Linked DNA regions of Drosophila melanogaster. The protein of the gene in region 1 interacts with the protein of each later gene in a pairwise test. Each region holds a gene or a part of one and is shown on either strand. Other genes may lie near its edges.

Region 1 (4,353 bases):
TGTATTAATTATTTTTATACATGTATTCATTATTTTAAATTACTTGTTTTAAATATTAACGTTTCGATAGTTCAATTGTGCGTGTCGCATTTTCTATTTTGCCATTTTAAACTATAGTTAATAACTAATAATAGTGTTTTACAGTATTAAGTCTTACAAACTTTTAAATGTAATTTGGAGAAACGATGGAAAATAAATAAATAAATATAAATAATTTTTGTTTAAATGGCACGATAAAAAATAATTGACCTAACAAGACAGCCTGTTTCAAAATTATTTTTCGATTACTTGAAATGATTGCTCACAAATAATCAGCAATTATCGGAACAATGTTTTCAAATTTGTTTTCCGCTTTTTCTCGCGCCTTTTGTTGTGGTTTTTCTGCCGCGAAATTTGAAAATGGCGTTCAAGGTGAAAACTAGTTGGTGATTCATTTCTGAAAACGTAATGAATGCAGCTGCACGGTCTCAACTACTCTGAGTACTTTTCACCACCTAATTGACCTTTAACTCCCAGTTTAAATGAACTCGTCCTTCTTTTTACATTTATCACTTTATTATTACAATAATGATACGTATATTCATTTACAAAACATATCCATTCATTGTTTTTACATATATAGCATTTCATTTCCCAAACCCATACCCGATCCACTATGAAATAGTGAGATTACCATTTGCCTCCCTCAGTGAATTTAAATGAAAGAGATTAATACAAACCCAACTCGAATCAGAACCGCAAGCCACGCCATTTCATTAAACGGAAATAAAGCATTAGATAAACGCATGACAAAGGCCAGAAGAATTTCTGATTCAGAAGTAAAACTAGAAGGAAGTATAAGCATTGTTTACAATACTACATACATACATACATCAATTGGCAATTAATTACATAAATTAGAAGCACCAAACAAAAACGATATGGCTGGCTAGCCTGGAGCAGCAGCACCTTGGCATGCTTATCCCCGAAAGCGGTTGAACTATGGACACCTGTTCCACGGCTACATGCATATTAATATAAGCGAAGCAAAAGCTTAAAAACAGTGATTATCGTGCTCTTTGATTAATCGCTTTGGAATGCCAAAGTCAAAGCGTTGAGAAGGCGTTTTACAGATTCGGATTCGAGATATATAGCGGACGCCCAGACTTAGAACTAAGAAGACTTTTGTAGAGCGAATCGCAGGATTAGCAAAAAGATGCCCACATGGGTCCACACTTGATGGAATACCCGACTCCCTCCGCTGGCGGCAGCCGCAACGAGCGGCGATTTCTGATTGTCACGGCACATCGTTTGGTTCCGAATGAAGTTGAACATGGACTCGACGAGATTCGCCGGTGTTATGTCCGAGCATTGCTCCAGTTTACGGACCACACACGCCTGCAGAGTCAGCATCTCGTCGCACTGTTTCTGACCGACCGTCAGCTTGGGCATGCTCCTGATGCGGTTGTCCTGCAGATCCGACACGTTCAGGTACTCGGAGAACGTGCTGTTCACGCACTGCTGAATGTTGTCCTTCTGGGACTCAATGCATTCGGGTCCCTTTTCGGCAATGAACAGGGCTATCTGATCGCCATCCTTGTGGCACACAAAGTTGAGCAGACTCTGGATGATCTGCTTAATGACATCCTGGCCCTCGCGCTCCTCCTGCACCAGACAGGGCACCAGTTTGGCCGTGAACGCATCCACACACTCGACGGCATTCGAACGCCGGCTGCAGTACTTGTTGAAGACCACATCCAGTTCGCCCTTGGGCGACGCTTCCTGTATCTCCTGCTGCATTGCCGTGTAGTTGACAATGCCATTGAGGCACTCGGTTAGCACCATGAATCCGGACTCGATCTCGCCGTATGCCTCGACGCCCGCCTCCTCGCCGGCCACCTCGATGCATTTGTTGCGAAATAGCTCCTTGGCGTCGTTCACGCTAAAGTTTGACTTCCTCAGCTGGTCGGGCAGCTGGGTCTGGATCTGATCCAGGTCTAGCTGGGCCATTATGCCGGCAGTGGCGAATATAACCAGCCAAATGGCGTATATCGCATGGCTTACATATGTCCTGTGCATGATGTTTGCTGTATTTTTTGCACTCCTCTTTGTCTTTTTGCTTGCCTCCTCTTCCGTTATTCTCCTTTGCTCTGGTTTTTAAGCTCTGAGATTTGCACTTTTGTTTGTGATTCTATGCGCTTCAAGCAAACATATTTGTTCGTTTTGCGAAATATGCCTATGCCTTTGGGCAATTGGAAAAAATTAATTTAATTAGGAAATCACTGGATGGAAATCCCAATTGGAGATTCTATCCCACCCGTCGGCTAGAGATGGCACTTCGTCGATGACGCTTTCGATGCAACAGCTCACTATCGGCTTTCCGCCGATAAAAGCGTACGATCGATCTATCTCTAGTTCAAATGAACAAGTTCTCGTAGAATTCAGTCTTTATTCTAATCTTCAGTGTTTTGTTTTTTTTTTTAGTCGAAAACCAGTGTCAGCAAGTTGAAGGCGAGAGTAGTTTGGAGGTCGAGGCCTTGGATATTTGTGTGTGGCTAGGGTGGCACATGTGCAATAAGGAGGCGGAGGAGACATGGCCTCCGCGGAGCAAAGAACCGAAGTGGACGCCCTTATGATGGGGCCGATCTCGAAACTAAGCATGCTGCTCACTGTGGTGTCCATTCTGTGGCGCTTCGTCTCGATTTGCATCAACTGGAGCCTGGCGTACGTGTACTGGATGGAGGAGTCCTACGGATACTGCGCCTGGACCATTGGCTCCATTCTGGTGCCCATGGTGGTCACATCGGTCATATATATACATACGTATGTGACATATCGCGATAGCGTGTACTTCCCCCGAAATCTACAGCTAAACGATAAATTTGTATTTGAATTTCAGCTTGAAGAGCGCTCATGCCGGCGAAAAACGCATCCTGGAGCGAGGGGTGTACTCAAATGCTGTGATCTCATATCTCTTCCGCGATGTCTATGTCCTAAACTATGCGTTCAAATACTCGTTGGCCAAGGAGCGGGATGACAAGCAGGCGGAGATCGAGTGAGTAATGCTAGTGTCAGTGTATAAAACTAGTTAATAGTAGCTTAATGCCCTAAATGGTAGTACTGCCGTTTAGTTTATCTTCTCTTTTCATCATAAGTGAGCACTTTAGAATGTTTATAACGAATATCTGAATTCTTATCTTACAGATATTACCAAAAACTCATGACGGAGGAGTGCAATGTTAGTTTCGTTCGTCTATTCGACTCGTTTTTGGAATCAGCACCGCAGAAAATACTACAGCTGGCAATTCTTTTGCAATCGACATTGGAGTTCACATGTAATACGATATTAATACTACATTAGTGCCATATTTCAATCTCTCTCTCTCTCTGCCTTAATTAAGATAACTAATGCATAAGTAATTTAAGCTTATAAACACCAAATTCTGACGTTCACTTTCGCAAATCAAAGTCAGTTTAGGCGTTTAGCCTAACTCATTGATTGTAGCCAACGAAAGTGAAACTCGGAATGGAAAGTCGATGGATGCCATTTACCCATTCAAATTTCTTTTCCCAGACTACCGCCACATCGCCCTGATCGTCTACTTCGGCAACATAGCGTGGTGCATCCAGGCGTACAATCACTCCAATCGCCTGGCCCAACTGGACAAACATGATATTGCGGCGAAGGGACGATTTCTGCAATTTCTCTTCCTGCTCTGCCTCACTGGTTAGTAGTAGTTAGTTAGCTGTGTTGCTTAGAATGTGTATATTAAGCTTTTAGTTATTCGCTTTTATTTCGTAGTTTCGAGAACGCTTTGCATCGCGTATGTGGCCAGTATTTTTCCCATCGAAACGCTGATCATCTGCGCGACACTGGCTTGCTTTTACGGCACCATTGTGTTCTTTGTGGACTCGCCAATGATCGCAAAATCCCGCCCCATGAACTATTCGTACTGCCTGTGCTTTGGCGTTGTCTATCTATTTATTTTTACGCCCGTCAAGGATGCACCAACCAAATATAAGTACGCCTTCTATCTCACATTCTGTTTGTTGCAAAATATCATCGCCTGCGCTTTGTACATTCCCTTGTATCTTGCCACAGCCATCATTGCCTTGTATATTGTCGGAATTGTTCTGTTAATAATCTACTACACGTACTGCCATCCAAATACTGTGCGTACTTATTTTTAAAATTCTAGCATAATTAGTAGCATTTTGTATATTTGCAATAAACGTTGTTATGCCCACTTGTGATGCGCCTTTGATTTTCAATTGGCTTAAGCTGGTTTCAGATCTAATCTAATATCTAATATGCATTGTGTTTTTATTAGAGGATATATACATACATACATACACACATATGTATATGCAAAT
Region 2 (5,604 bases), on another chromosome or scaffold:
GTCCGGAGAAGGAGCTTTGCGCTTGCGAGAACTCTCCGGGTTGGCATTGCCGCCTTCGTCCTTGTGCATCTGCGCAAATTTTTTTTCCATCTCGTCAAAAATCATTTCACACTGGCGTACAATTTCTCCTTCCGAGGTGTCTGCTTCAAAATCAAAGTCCATGTCATCCAGATCATCCATAGGTTCTGCTGGTGTCAGTACAGCTGCTTCAGTATCCTTATCCGCCTCCGGTTCGCTCTTTGAAGTGCCAGCGCTTTTGCTGGAAGACGAGCTCCTCTTAGTTTTGGACCGTGAACTCGAGGAACTAGATTTGTGATGATGGCTCTTCGAGGAGGATGATGAAGAACTGCTCTTGTGCCTGCTACTGGAACTTTTGTCGTCGCGGTGCTTATCGCTGCTGGATGACTTTTTGCTGGAAGAGGAGCTAGATGAAGACTTGTGCTTAGAGGAACTTGAGCTTGAAGTATTTCGCTCCTTGGAGCGCTCCTTGTCGCTGTGGGAGGACTTTCGCTTATCCCTATCATTTTTTTCCTTCTCTCTGTCCCTTTCCTTGCTCTTCTCTTTGTCTTTTTCCCGGTCCCGGTCCCGGTCCCGATCCCTGTCTTTGATCTTTTCCCTTTTCAGCTCTCTGATCTTCTTCTTTTCTATATCCCTTTCCCGCTCCTTGCTGGGCTTTCGATCCTTTTCGTGGCTATCCCTAGCATCCGTCAGTTGCGTATTCTCCTGGTCCTCCTCGTTTTCAGCTACCGTATCTATCTTCTGTTCTTCGTCGTTATTCTGGACTTGCTCCTCAATCTCCACCTGCATCTGCTCATCAATTTCCTTTTCGAGTACCGCCTGCCAATCGTCATATTCTTCGCCATTTGTAACAGATGGCTGGCCGGGCACATATTTGGGAGCACTGTCCACGGACGCCTCCTGCTTCTTCTTAGCCGGCGATGCGTCAAGAGCCGGCTTCTCCGGGTGGTACTCCAGATTGGACTTCTTCCGGGGCGCACATAGCGTGATCTGGGGCAGTGGAAGGGAGAGCAACTTGGGTGCCGGCTTGTACTTGGGCACGGGGGAAGGTTCTGCAGGTGGAGCGGCCTCCAATTCGTCTGTAAACCGAGAGTGGATAGAATTTGTTGCGAAATTAACTGGACGTAATTCACTCACCTTTGCGAGCATGCTTAAAGTGGCAAAAGGGGCGCTTGCAGGACGCCGCATCCTGGCCGTCAAAGTAAGGGCACAAGAAGCCCTTAAAGAGACCCGTGGATGGCAGCATTTCCACCTCTTGCTGGGATTAGAAATTTAATAAAGCCGCTTGAGAAAACAAGCGTCCCAAATTTCTTTCTATTCTTTCTGCCTGTCTCTTTCACTCATTTCGACAGATGTCAGCTGTTTCAGCTGCTGGCGGCGTTGCCAGATAGGCGTCAGCATGGATGCTATGAATGGATGCTAAGGAATTAAATTAAATAAATTTAAATAAGTTTTAAATATTTACAAAACATTGAATGACCTATTTAATTAATAATTGTAAACAATATTCGCATTTTGTTAACGGTTACAATGTACGTTTATGGCAGTTGATTGCATCAATCCGGGAGGATTATATCTTGCGGTACGATGTACAATGCTATGCGATGTTAATAAGAATAAGATGTACGTAATAAGAATGTGGTGACTAACGGTATAAACAAATGGTGTAAAAAGTCTGGCAACTCCTGCAAACAGCTGTTTGCTGTGCCAATTTCCTATAGGGTCTTCGCCGCTTGTAAACAAAAACGCAGCAGTATAATAATAAAAATAATTGTTTAACCTATAAAATTGTTTGCTTATCTAGCCTAATGAACTTGATAGCTGCGGAACCGTTTTAATTTCGATCGAGTGCATCGCAAACTGAAGTTCGGGCGCGACATTCAACTGCCGCCTCATCGAAGGTTTGTGTGGGTGTGTCTGCTGGAATATGTTATTAAAAAAGAAATTCATATAGAAATTCAAATGAAACCGGCCATTATCGGTGGCCGACTGTCTGCAATAGCAATGATTAGGGTGATATATTATCGCACTGAGTCAGTGGACGCGGGTGGCGGATCCCACGGTGCGATAATTCAAGTGCTCCCCCTCCGGCAAGGTTTGCTGTGATATGGAACCAACCTATGGATTCAGTCGTATAACGGCAGTCTGGCGCTTCAGTTGTCTCCGGCAAAAGTGAATTCCCCATCGAGTACAAAGGTCAGTGGGCTAGAAATTCGCCTATGATTTCACCAGTGCGCCGGGAGTATAAATATTTATAAAGCTCCCCAATCCGGACTTTGTCCAGCTTGAGGAGATTAGTGAAGATAGTCGTCTAGCTGCAGTCCAAGAAAGATTACGTTCAACTTGACGCATAATCCGCTTAGTTGCACATTAAGTGTTCTTAGTTGTGTGGTATTAATTTGCACACCATTTTAATGTTTAACCTATAAGATGAGATCAATTTATTTCCGATGTGAATGTACTCAGTAATGTATTGGGTGAACTTTGGACCTGACGAACGTAAAAGCGATTCCCGATATGATTATTGTACTAATCTGACTTAGGCCTATAGAAAACCACCACACGCGCAGACTGATATCAACGATTCCAACGTGTCCCCCGCAGCTAAACCACCATGGACCGGGCTAGTCTATATTTTATGAGCAAGGATGATAAGAACACCTTCGACTTCGACGAGACCTTACCTTCGCTCCCGCTGCCGGAGCTTAGGGACACCATGGAGCGCTACTACAGCTGCATCCAGCCATTCGGGACCAAGGAGGAGTTGGCCCAGGCCCGCAAGACTATTGATGAGTTCCAAAACGGAGTGGGAGCCCAGCTGCACGAACAGCTCAAGAAGCGGGCGGCCGGCATGAGGAACTGGCTGGGCACCTGGTGGGAGGACTACGGATATCACCTGATTCGGATGCCGCTGCTGCCCTACCAGCTCATGGTCATGCCCTCGCAATTGGAAATGGTGGGCGTGCCGGAGACACCGGAGTACATGCTGAAGGTGAGTGGACCCACACCCCAAGCTCTATAAGAACACAAAGTTTAAGATTGCCTAATTGACTGTATAATTTTCGAAGAGTCTGGCGCGCCACATTCACCACTCGCTGGAGTTTTGGGATCTGACTAGAAAGTCCAGCATCAAACCGCTCTCCTCGAACGGCGGTAAAATAAAGTACTCCTCCGCGCTGTACAAGCACTTCTTCTCCACGTGCCGTGTGCCAGGCGAGGAGCAGGATCATATAGAGAAGCATTTTCTCACCAAGGATGAGGGCAAAACGCCGAGTCACATGCTTATTTCCGGCAAGGGACGTCAGTTCATCTTCGATTGTGTGCACGAGGACGACACTATCCTATCGGCTCCCGAAATCCTCGTGGCCCTGCAAAGAGTGCGCAGCATCCTCGACTACGAGCCGTTGGGCGATTGTGTGCCCACCCTGAGCCATGACGAACGCTCCACGTGGGCACGCAACCGCAACCGTTTGAGGGAAATCTCAGTTGCAAACAAGGAGACGCTGCTTCTGGTGGAGAGCGCATGTATGGAGATCTGCTGGTACGAGCAATCGCCCAAGGACTACGAGGAGTCCTGCCAGCTGGGTCTCTACGGTGATCTCCATTCCCGCTGGGCAGACCGCAGCAGCAGCATCATCGCCTTCCGCAACGGACGCTGCAACTGGACGGGTGAGCACAGCTGCTACGATGGCACGGTCAGCATAAGTTACGCCACATTCATGCAACTGAGCTTCCTGGAGGTGCCAGAGCCAGACTGGGCAGAGGCCGAAAAAGGCAATGTTTTGGAGGTCAAGGAGCTGCACTTCCAGCTGGATGATACGCTCAAGAACGAGATCAAGCGCGTGCAGAAGGATATTGATGACAGGGTAGGCAAAACGCCTTTTTCCGAAACCTGTTATTGAACTAGTTAATCCTTTTGTATGTGGTATCCTTAGGGTATTGACGTTACTGTGACCTTCACTGCGTTCGATGACTACGGCAAGGACTTTATGAAAACCCATCGACTGCATCCAGACTCCTTTGTTCAGGTGGTCATGCAGTGGGCCTACTACCAAATGCATAAAGAGTGAGTTCACCTCTGGACTAAAAAAAACAGCACTAACAACACTCCATGGATATCCAACAGAATTGCTCCCACATATGAGACTGCTCTGATGCGACAGTACTACAATGGACGAACAGAGACCCTGCGATCATGCACTTCCGCTGTGGCTGAATTCCTGAGGGCGTCATCCAACAAGCAGGTTGGCGATATGTCACTGGCCAGGGCGTTCCGTAGGGCAGTCGATGAGCACAAGCACTTCATGAACGAGGCGCGCAAGGGACACGGCATCGATAGGCACTTGTTTGGCCTGTGGTGCGCGGCGTATGAAAGCAAAATGGACATTCCCGCCTTCTACGACGATCCGATGTACACCAAGAGCGGCGGAGGAGGTAACTTTGTGCTCTCGTCCAGCACGCTGGGCTTCACGGCCAACGTTGGTTTCGTGGCGCCCATGGTCTTCGATGGCTATGGCGTCTTTTACTCCATCACCTCGGAAGCGTAAGCTAGACACTCCTCCATTATCTTGAATTGTTCTTTAATTTCGTACATTCTAGTGTGTTCATTAATACCACCGCCTATCGGGATAGCCTAAAGACAAGCGCTCGCAAGTTCAACGACATTTTCAAGGACTCATTCCGCCGCATCAGCGTTCTCCTGGAACAATTGGCCAAGGAATCCAAGCTATGAAAAGCTCATCTAGTATTAAGAAAAGATCTAATCTTACTTTATGTCGTCATTGAAATTCAGTTCTCATTTTTAGTTCCAATCAGAAAGTAGATTTTTGGTTTTTCTTTCCATTTTGTTTCAATTAGCACAATTACCTAGATTTTAACGAACAGTCGAATTTAAATATTTTTTATTTGAAATTGGATCCCTAGTTCAACCCACCTTTCACCGGAAACTAAGTGAAAACGCAGACTTCGTTGGTAGTTTGTAGTTTGACAGAAAGGGTGTGCAGCATTTGTAACTTCGTGTTAAACGTTTATTTAAATTCAATGATCGATTAGTTTTTGCAAATACATTTCTCTCGGTAATTCTTGTGTTTCAATTCTAAAATGCGGCTAAATAAGCTAAGCGCCCAGCCGCTTCAATACGTTAGCCGGCCCTAGATACTACGTACAAATTAATTGGAGCTTGCGCCGGATTACAATATATATATATATAATCGTCTATATACGAAAACTTTTCGTTAGTAATTTCGATTATCTGGGAGCTAAATGCTAATTACAAGTGGTTCTCACTGCGTTTCTTTATTTATGCAGTACTTTTTGAGTCGCAGACCCAAGGACAGAATGGGGGAAAAAAAATCGTATGAGTTGAGTTAGGAGCTGGGCTGTCCGCACTAGTGCGGCGGGGGCGGAGGTCGATAGTAGCCAGCGTGCGGCTGCAGCATTGAGTAGCCGGAGGAGGGCGGCGGCGCTATCCGTTGGCCTCGTCTCTGCTGCTGCTGTGGCGGCAAGCCGGCGTACGCCTGCACTCATTCCTGCCCAGTGGCCGGAACTGGCTGAAGGTTCTGCTCGGCAGCCGGTGGAGTGGCTGCC
Region 3 (4,968 bases), on another chromosome or scaffold:
GTGAATTTCTTATTTACGACGAACATTATTTGGCTCTTTTTTTATTGCAAGAAATAAGTGTTTTTTCGAAGAAAGGGTAACAATTTTGTTAAACAATTTAGCTTTTAGTATATTATATATTATAAGATCACATCTTTCCACTCTAAAAGCCAACGAAATTAATTAAAAGCGCAATTAATTTGTTTGACAGCTGAAGAAAACAGACGCCAAGCTTTTGGCTTATTTACAATAAGGGGGTAGAATGGGGGGCCAAAATGGCTGAAAGGGGTGAGGGGGCGGCAGGGGAGGCTGGCTTTTTTCTCCTTTCGTTTGTCTGATTCTGTCGGAATAATAAAAGTAATTTAATTTTAATGAAATTGTTAATACGAAAACAATTTCATTTTGCAAAAAGTTTTGCCTGGGCCAAAAGATGGGCAGAGACGGGGGTGGTGGGGTGTGGAGAGAGAGTGAAATTGCTCGTGACAATGAGTGAACGGGAAAACAACAAACAAACAAACAGGAGTGCGAGAGAAAAGAGAAGGCCAAACGAGCAAACACTACGGTACAGAAAATACAAAAATGCCGTCGCAAAGCCAAACAAAAAAGGCACTGCACAAGCGAAAGAGACAGAAGGAGGGAAAGAGAAAGATAGGGAATGCGAGAAATGAAATGCTGATGCGAAGATTTAATAAATGAAATTGGTGTGTGATTAAAAACACAAAAACCAAACGAAATCCATCTAATCAACTTTTGCTGCCGCCTCACTTTTCCTCTACTTTCTCCTCCTCCTTTTCCACCGACCCGTTTCTCCTTTTGTCCTTTCTCCCAGCTGCTATCTCTTTCCTTCCTTCCCGGCGACGTCGACTGCGAGAGCGGCAGAGGGGTGAAAAGAGGGTTGCGAAGTTGGGGAGGGGTGGCACAATACTGGGGGTGGGTGGTCTTAAGTTTGCAACGCCTTCTTGAGGGAAATTCCCGACCAAAGATCCTTGGATTTTTCTAACCTTACGAAATTGTACATAAATAACGGTTAAAATTAATAAATAATTTTTACAATATGTTACTTATTCCACTTAAACATTTATGTTTAATTAAAAAATTTTGAATTTTCAACATGTTTCAAAAAATGTCTTTTTATGTACCATAAAAGATCGGAAAATTCATTCTACCTGTTATATACTTCTTAACAAATCTAGTATACCCTCTTACGAAACGAGTTAAATAGTAAAATTTCCCAGTTTCTTATTCCCCTTTTGGGATTTTCTCTCTTCTCAGGCTCCACCCCTACATATGAGCAGAAAATGGCTCTGAAATGCCTATACATACACATATTTACATACATGACGGCCAGTTGCTATGACATTCTACATCTTACATGCATAATAAATCTGAAATGTAACGTACAACGTAAGTTAGAAATCACTAAAATGAAAAATGGCGCTGTATTAGTTCCAAAAACAAACACCATTTGTCGTAAACGGATAGGCGTTGTGTGCTGTTAGTTCCAAAAGTATACGAGAAAAGTTGAATAAATCATGGCGCAGAGTTAATCCTGCATTGGCAATTTATAATACTAGATTAATTTAAGACCGATCTTGACCAACTTCAATGATGATTTCATTCGGAATGATTATTAAAATCAAACTGATACATCATCTCTGAGAGAACTAGCAGGGAAAATATTATAAATTCTACTACTCTACTAAATCTACTCCTTTCACATAGTATATTTACGTTAACAAACAAAGTACACTTTTATTAATATGAATATTTTGTTATTTGATTAAAGTAATTAATTTGTAGAAAGGATTGAGCATAATATTGTTTTAAATTTTTTTTTTCTATCTCAACGCTAATTCATAACATTGCATCAGAAGAGAAAATAATTTTTTAAAAATTAAGAGAAAAAATGCTAATGTGCTCTTTATTTCATAATATTCGAGTAGTGGTAGCGAGTAAGTTGTTTGTTTCATTTTCAGTCTGTTGGAATTTCTCGTGCTGTGCGGTTGTCATTTGTCGCGATCGTGCTTGGAATTGACTTTAGCGGCATTTTTATAAGAATCAATGCAACGCGTGGTTTTCCTGCAAATTTTGGCACAAGTTCTTAATAAAAGAAAAAAAATATATATATATATGGCATTGGCGTTTATCAGAATAATCCACATCGCCATTTAGTTCGGTGGTTTTTCATCGACTTGTGCTTGTGTGTGCGTGCCACTTGGTTAGTTGTTGCTGCTTTCGCTAGTCGTACGATCTAGCATTTGTGCTCAATTCTGAATTCTAAAATAAAACAACAACTAGCGTTTTCCATATGTGCAACTATTTGCCTTAAAAAGCAATTAAAGCAAAGGCAGTGGTTAAAGTTGACTAAATATTAGTAAAACGTGAATTGTGAATGCAGTTTTGGTGCATTAAGCGAAGAGAGTGGAAGAGAGAGCGGCTCTCTTTTAGTTTGTGATTTCAAAGTGGAAAATTATTAATTCAAATGCAGTCTGCAATTAATTTCATGGAAAATCACTTGTTAGCTGCTCGTTCGCTCTGTCTCTTTCGCACTTCAGCTGACGAATTTTCCGTGCTAAACTTGACACTTTTCAGTCCATCATTCCAACTAATTCTTTGACTGCAGTTTTGCGTCGCATTTCCTTTCTACGCCGATCTGCCTCTTTGCCTTTCTTTTCTCTGATATATTTCAACAGAAGCTCAGTTGTTGTTGTAACTACTCCTCCTCCTTTTTGTTACTTGCTGCTTGTTTTTGTTGCTCGTCATGTACAATTTTTTCCAATTTGTGCGCCTTTTCATATTTTATTCTGCCGCGCTGTTTTTCTGTTTTCTGTTTCTGTCTCGCCGCCGCTACTATTTTTAGCAACAAGTATGGCTGATGTTGTTGTTGCTGCCGCTCAAGTTAACTACGCTACGCTGGCAGAAACAACAACAAGTCAAACTATGCGGAGCGAGAGAGAGTGAACTGAAAACAAAAAGAGTGAGCGATAAAATCCGCGAGAAAGAGTACAGTGGGGCTCGACTTAAATTATCATATTAAGCCAGATCACAAGTATTAACAAATCGAATGTTCTTAAATCCAATAAGCGTTAATCAGCAATGTTGATCAAAAGTTTTAAAATTATTTAATCGATATCAGTGAACTATTGAATACTATTGGTAAAAGCTCAGTCTTGTTTGCATCTTCAAGTGGGGGTCCCACTGTATTCGACTCAGGTGATAACAATAACAGCGACGAGTGAGAGAACTCTCTCTCACTCTCTCTCCTTCATTTCATTTCCCAATCTTTCGTGTTCGTGTTCTGTGGCTAATAGCATTTAAATTTTAATGCCCAATTTCATAGAAACGCAACGCAAGTGGAAAGACTCGAGAAAACAAAAGTGCAGGCCGTCTAAATTGATGGCGAAGTTTCGTGTGCCGCCTGCATTTCATTTATAAATATATTTTCGGCCTTAATTCTGTGCTTCCTGTGAATTAACGAGGAAACTGAAGAGTGCGCGAGCGAGACAGCCGATCACAAATCAACAAGTGGAAACGAAGAAACTTTCTTCGCAAAAGCCGGCTGATCGCAACAACAAGAAGAAAAGAGAGCGATTCTCTGCGACTGGAACCATAACATTTACATCGACCCTGGAATTTCTTCACTTTTCGTCCAACATGTAAGCTCCATTTTAATATGCAATTACTGTTCGCTGTTGTCGAACAGCAACTTATTTATTCATACTTATTGTTTATTTATGGATTTATGCCGCCTACGAACTTTGTGATTGCACAATCGTTCGGCCTTTGAATAATTTTTTTTTTCGCCAAGGCGCCCTTTTGTCTATATACCCATCTCTTTCGACTGCTCCAGTGCTGTCTTTTTCTGGTCCGTGCTTTGAATAAACAATTAAGGCTCAGGGTCTTTAAGCCCTTTTCTCCGCCTTAGAGCCGAAAGTGATTGTTGTAATTTATAATTTATATTTCCTTTCTTAATAAATAAATAAATAGTCAAGTTTATGTTTGAGTTTTATGATTTATATTTTAAGTTATTTCAACTGCAACACCAGCACCACGACCTACTCACAGCAAAAAACGTACAAGAAGGAAAGAAGGAATAAAAAGAGTGGTATTCTCTTACAATATGTTTTATGGCATAAAAGGTGTGGCCATTCATATCAAATATAAAGTAGTGTTGTTTAACGTTATTTTTGTAGGTTGAATAGTATATTCCAACACGCCCCCTCAAAAATAACGTCTATAATTAAAAACATAACAATAATATTCATTAGTAACTATCAAATGTGGGTGGTGTGCATTCTGGGAAGTGTTAACTGATCCAGCATTTGCTGCGAGGATACGGGGAAAACCCAGAAAAACCCGATCAGATCATTGTAACAAAATATGTTTACAGGAATTTAAATTTGAAAAATATATATAAAAATTTCATTCAGCATTCGATTGGTCGTCTTGCAGCAAACCCAATTTGTCTCGTAACTCCACAAATCTCGCAGCAGGCAACGGTTTTGTAAATATGTCAGCCAGTTGATTCTCTGTAGGAATATACTCAAGACAAATCACATTATTCTGAACTTGCTCTCTGGCAAAATGATATTTAATATCAATATGTTTAGCTCGTTTATGACATGAGGGATTGTTTGCTATGCTAATACAGCCTTGATTGTCTTCGTAAATTTTAATGGGGTTTTCTAGTTTAATGTTAATACTAGTTAATAAAAATTTAAGCCATAGAGCTTCTCTCACGGCTTCAAATAGGGCCATATACTCAGCTTCAGTTGATGAGGCTGCTACTGAGTTCTGTCTCTTTGTATTCCAACAAATGAGATTAAAATCAAACATTTTGAATAAATACCCTGTTGTACTTTTTCTATCAATTTCACTACCAGCCCAATCAGAATCCACATAACCAATAATTTTATTTTCAAATGCCAAGTTCTTTTTAAAAATCAATTTCATATCGATAGTGCCCTTCAAATATCTAAGAACTCTTTT
Region 4 (3,240 bases), on another chromosome or scaffold:
ACTCGAGCAATCCAGGCTGATTCTGTACAATTTCGGCGTACTCTTCAAACGCTATCACCCCATCCTTGTCAGTGTCGAATTTTCCGAATATGAACTCGCACATGTCCTGCTCGGAAACGGTGCTGAAATGCAAGCATAATTGTCAATAATGTCAGTACACTCACCGCTCGCAATTCGTTGACCTCGTCGTCGTCATCGCCAGTGAAGAATTGTTCAATGGCCACGCCGACCACCTCGCGATTCAGAACCACAGCACCACCGCTTGTATAAACCTGTAGTCCATGGGGAAATTTAATAAAGGAGTAGCCACGATTTCGGAGCAACCACCTCAAATGCGAACTTCATTCGCTCCTGCAGACTTCCGTTGAAGAACACACAGAACAGCCGCATCCAGGCTTCTGGAGAGACTGATCGGCCATCCTGCGTGATATTCATCGAAATCCGGTCGATGATGGTCACGTCGAAGATCCCAAAGCTGACGAGGAATAGATTGTACAGCTGGCTGGTGGACATCATGCGGGACCTGTTGTTCAGGGCGTACTTGTAAAACACGATCAGCAAGCTGACCACTTCGTTGGTGGAAAACTCCGTGGAGGCAGCGAAGCTCTTGATCAAAGTACTGTACATGGTGAGGAACTTGTTGTTGGCCATGTCGTCCAGGGTAAGGTCGATGCGGTTCATTGTGTTTTTTAATGGCAATGGTAAACAAGTAATTATTATTTAAAATGTTTTTTAAGAGAGTACTGTGTAATGGGGCGTGTGTTTCGGGTGTGTGATGAAAATGCCTAACTTATGAGGCTCTGGCCTGCTTAAAAGGGTGAGGGTTATGCAAGACAAATTGCAAATAGATTGGGTAAGTCGCAGCCGCAGCCTAAGGATTCGCCGGGAATGTAACTGGCGCAATTTAAAAGCGATAAAACAACGCCGCGACATAAAAAATACATCAGCCACGCTACATGGACTACATCTGTCCCCCATTTCGAATAAATATTTGAAACAAACCCGCCTGATGAAACACACAAAGGCTGAGAAAAAAGCTGAAAGCTGTGCGCATGAGAAACGCGAATATAATAATCCAAACAAAAGCGCTGAGATGGGTGTAAAGCCTTCCATGTGGAAATTCGTCGGAAATGGCTGTGTAGCCATTTTGTTTGGGGTAACAAATGTTCGGAATCTCCTTCCCTTTGTTGTATAATTGTATGCCCCCTTCGAAACACACTCACGCAAGCACACACTCACACGTGCCACGCCCACCGAAATACCAAAAAAAATGAGGAGGCGGCTGAGCAGCTCGACACGGCATAATAACAATAAAATAAGAGTGGATGATGAAGGAGAGAGGGCGGCAAGGATTCACGCTCCTTAATGTCTCCACAGTTGACATCGCCAAGTGTTGGCGGATTTACAGGCAAGTTGGGCTGGATTTTGGTATGGACTTTTGATTGATATATTTTACGTACGGTGTTTGGAAGAGACTTACGGCATAAATTTGTTAAGCAAGACAAATGGCGCGGAAGCGAAATTGGAAACATTTTAATTCTCATAAAACGCTTAAAGAGGGCAACCATATATTTTGTATTTTTGAAATCCAGAAAAGCAGGCGAAGGAAACATATGCCAGCTGCACTAGACATATCCATTAAATCATTGTAACTCCTTAATCGATAATCAAACAATATCATATATCCAGTAGTAAATCAAAGTAAAGAGTAAATCACCGTGAGCTTCCCTGAACCATGGAAAACCTAGACTCCACTGTCGATAGCACCGAGAACAGCAAGTTCTCGGCCCTGTACGGTGGATTGATTAAGGAGATCGCTGCAACCTCGAAGATGTCCACCTTGGACATCACCTGTTTGCTTTGCGTTTACTACAAGTTCGTCAGGTTCAACGGACCTGGCGCCAAACAGATGAAGAAGAATCAGTTCTACCAGATCTACTTGGTGCTCTTCAACGTGGCCAATGTTCAGGTGATTGAACGCTCCCTTCTGGCCATCACCAAGGATACCAAGTACGTGAGTCCCCGTGCCTGGGTTGATCTCTTTGAGCTGTACACCACAGAGGATCTGGAGCGCCGTATGAAGTTTGCCTTTGAAGTGGGTAATGGATTGTTAAGCATTTCTAGAAGGCTCTAATAGGGTTCTTTATTAGGTTTATGACACCAAGAACACCGGAGTTATCGATCGCGAGCAGGTGGGCGTGGCATGCGAGAAATTCTTCCACGAAGGCGACGACGAAGATGAACTAATTGAGCTCAGAGCGGTAAGCTTGCTTATCAATTTAGAATAATTTAATAAATTTACTCCTCACAGGACATGACTGAATTTATTATGAAGAAGTTTGATGTAGACAAGGATGGAGTCATTTCGTTTGAGGACTACTCCTCGGTTGTTTCACAACAACCCGTTTTGGTTGAGTTCTTGGGCTGGCTATTTCCATCGAACGAAGAAAGGGATCTTATGGCCCATGTTATCAACATGGACTCCATGCTCAATTATTGTAATCCGGACGCAAAATAGGCTTGTCGTTTGATTAAGCTTGATTATCCCACTGTGATAATAATCGAACGACAAACGACAATGAATGAGGACCAAAAGGATGCCGCCAAAGTAGTTGATCAAAATTTTTGTATGATTTCAAATTAATCATTTTTATAAGCATGATATATCAAATTTCCACCAACACTTTGAAAATAAAGCAAAATGTTTCGCGTGAGCTGTCTTAAAAGGACTTGCGATTGGTTCTTGTGTTAACTTGGTTTATATAAGGCGATAGAGTGGGCGACTCTTTATGTGAACTAGCAGACACTGCGTATGCATCATAAGCTCTCCAAAATCTCTGTTCACATTCTGCACGGGGCTCTGATCAAGTGGATATGCACACTTTAAAGAATACTGTATGGGTAACGGCGCTATGAGCCGTTTTGGATACTTATATAATTCCGATAGCCAAAAACGAAAAAATGCGACGCAGGAGCCTTTGAACTTATACGAAATAGTTTTTAAACATTGTTATTCAAAATCCATCTGCCAACCCGAACATAACACAAAAATCACAAAAAAAAAAAAAAATTAGAAAAAGAAAACACACACAAAAAAAAAGTTTCAAAATAAGGAAAAAAATAACAAAAAAAACTTTACAAGGAAATAAAAAACATTAAAAAGAATTTAGTTATGGAAAACCTAGACGCCACCATAGATAGCATGGAGAACAGTCGGTTTGCAGCGCTCTACGGGAGTTT

The links.
Region 2: the proteins of CG9917 (region 1) and CROT interact in a two-hybrid assay, tested with the Drosophila melanogaster proteins (one large-scale study listed by BioGRID).
Region 3: the proteins of CG9917 (region 1) and for interact in a two-hybrid assay, tested with the Drosophila melanogaster proteins (one large-scale study listed by BioGRID).
Region 4: the proteins of CG9917 (region 1) and CG15177 interact in a two-hybrid assay, tested with the Drosophila melanogaster proteins (one large-scale study listed by BioGRID).

The regions. Positions count from the first base shown.
Region 1 is NC_004354.4:16,320,896-16,325,248, forward strand, and holds CG9917 (uncharacterized protein), read right to left. Parts: upstream 2,337-4,353; 5' UTR 2,059-2,336; coding exon 1,153-2,058; 3' UTR 536-1,152; downstream 1-535. Other genes in the region: CG32579 (uncharacterized protein), read left to right, coding at 2,573-2,802, 2,879-3,034, 3,184-3,314, 3,554-3,706, 3,761-4,170.
Region 2 is NT_033777.3:27,702,870-27,708,473, reverse strand, and holds CROT (carnitine O-octanoyltransferase), read left to right. Parts: upstream 1-1,722; 5' UTR 1,723-1,919; intron 1,920-1,972; exon of another isoform or gene 1,973-2,409; intron 2,410-2,569; exon of another isoform or gene 2,570-2,622; 5' UTR 2,623-2,632; coding exon 2,633-3,010; intron 3,011-3,086; coding exon 3,087-3,884; intron 3,885-3,953; coding exon 3,954-4,084; intron 4,085-4,144; coding exon 4,145-4,561; intron 4,562-4,617; coding exon 4,618-4,750; 3' UTR 4,751-5,095; downstream 5,096-5,604. Other genes in the region: CG12877 (uncharacterized protein), read right to left, coding at 1-1,097, 1,156-1,264; btz (barentsz), read right to left, coding at 5,541-5,604.
Region 3 is NT_033779.5:3,653,937-3,658,904, reverse strand, and holds the start of for (foraging), read left to right. Parts: upstream 1-1,951; 5' UTR 1,952-2,183; exon of another isoform or gene 2,184-2,197; intron 2,198-3,319; 5' UTR 3,320-3,635; intron 3,636-4,968.
Region 4 is NT_033777.3:6,627,686-6,630,925, reverse strand, and holds CG15177 (uncharacterized protein), read left to right. Parts: upstream 1-1,604; 5' UTR 1,605-1,735; coding exon 1,736-2,095; intron 2,096-2,150; coding exon 2,151-2,261; intron 2,262-2,311; coding exon 2,312-2,518; 3' UTR 2,519-2,722; downstream 2,723-3,240. Other genes in the region: sunz (sungrazer), read right to left, coding at 1-106, 165-272, 328-681; sowi (solwind), read left to right, coding at 3,173-3,240.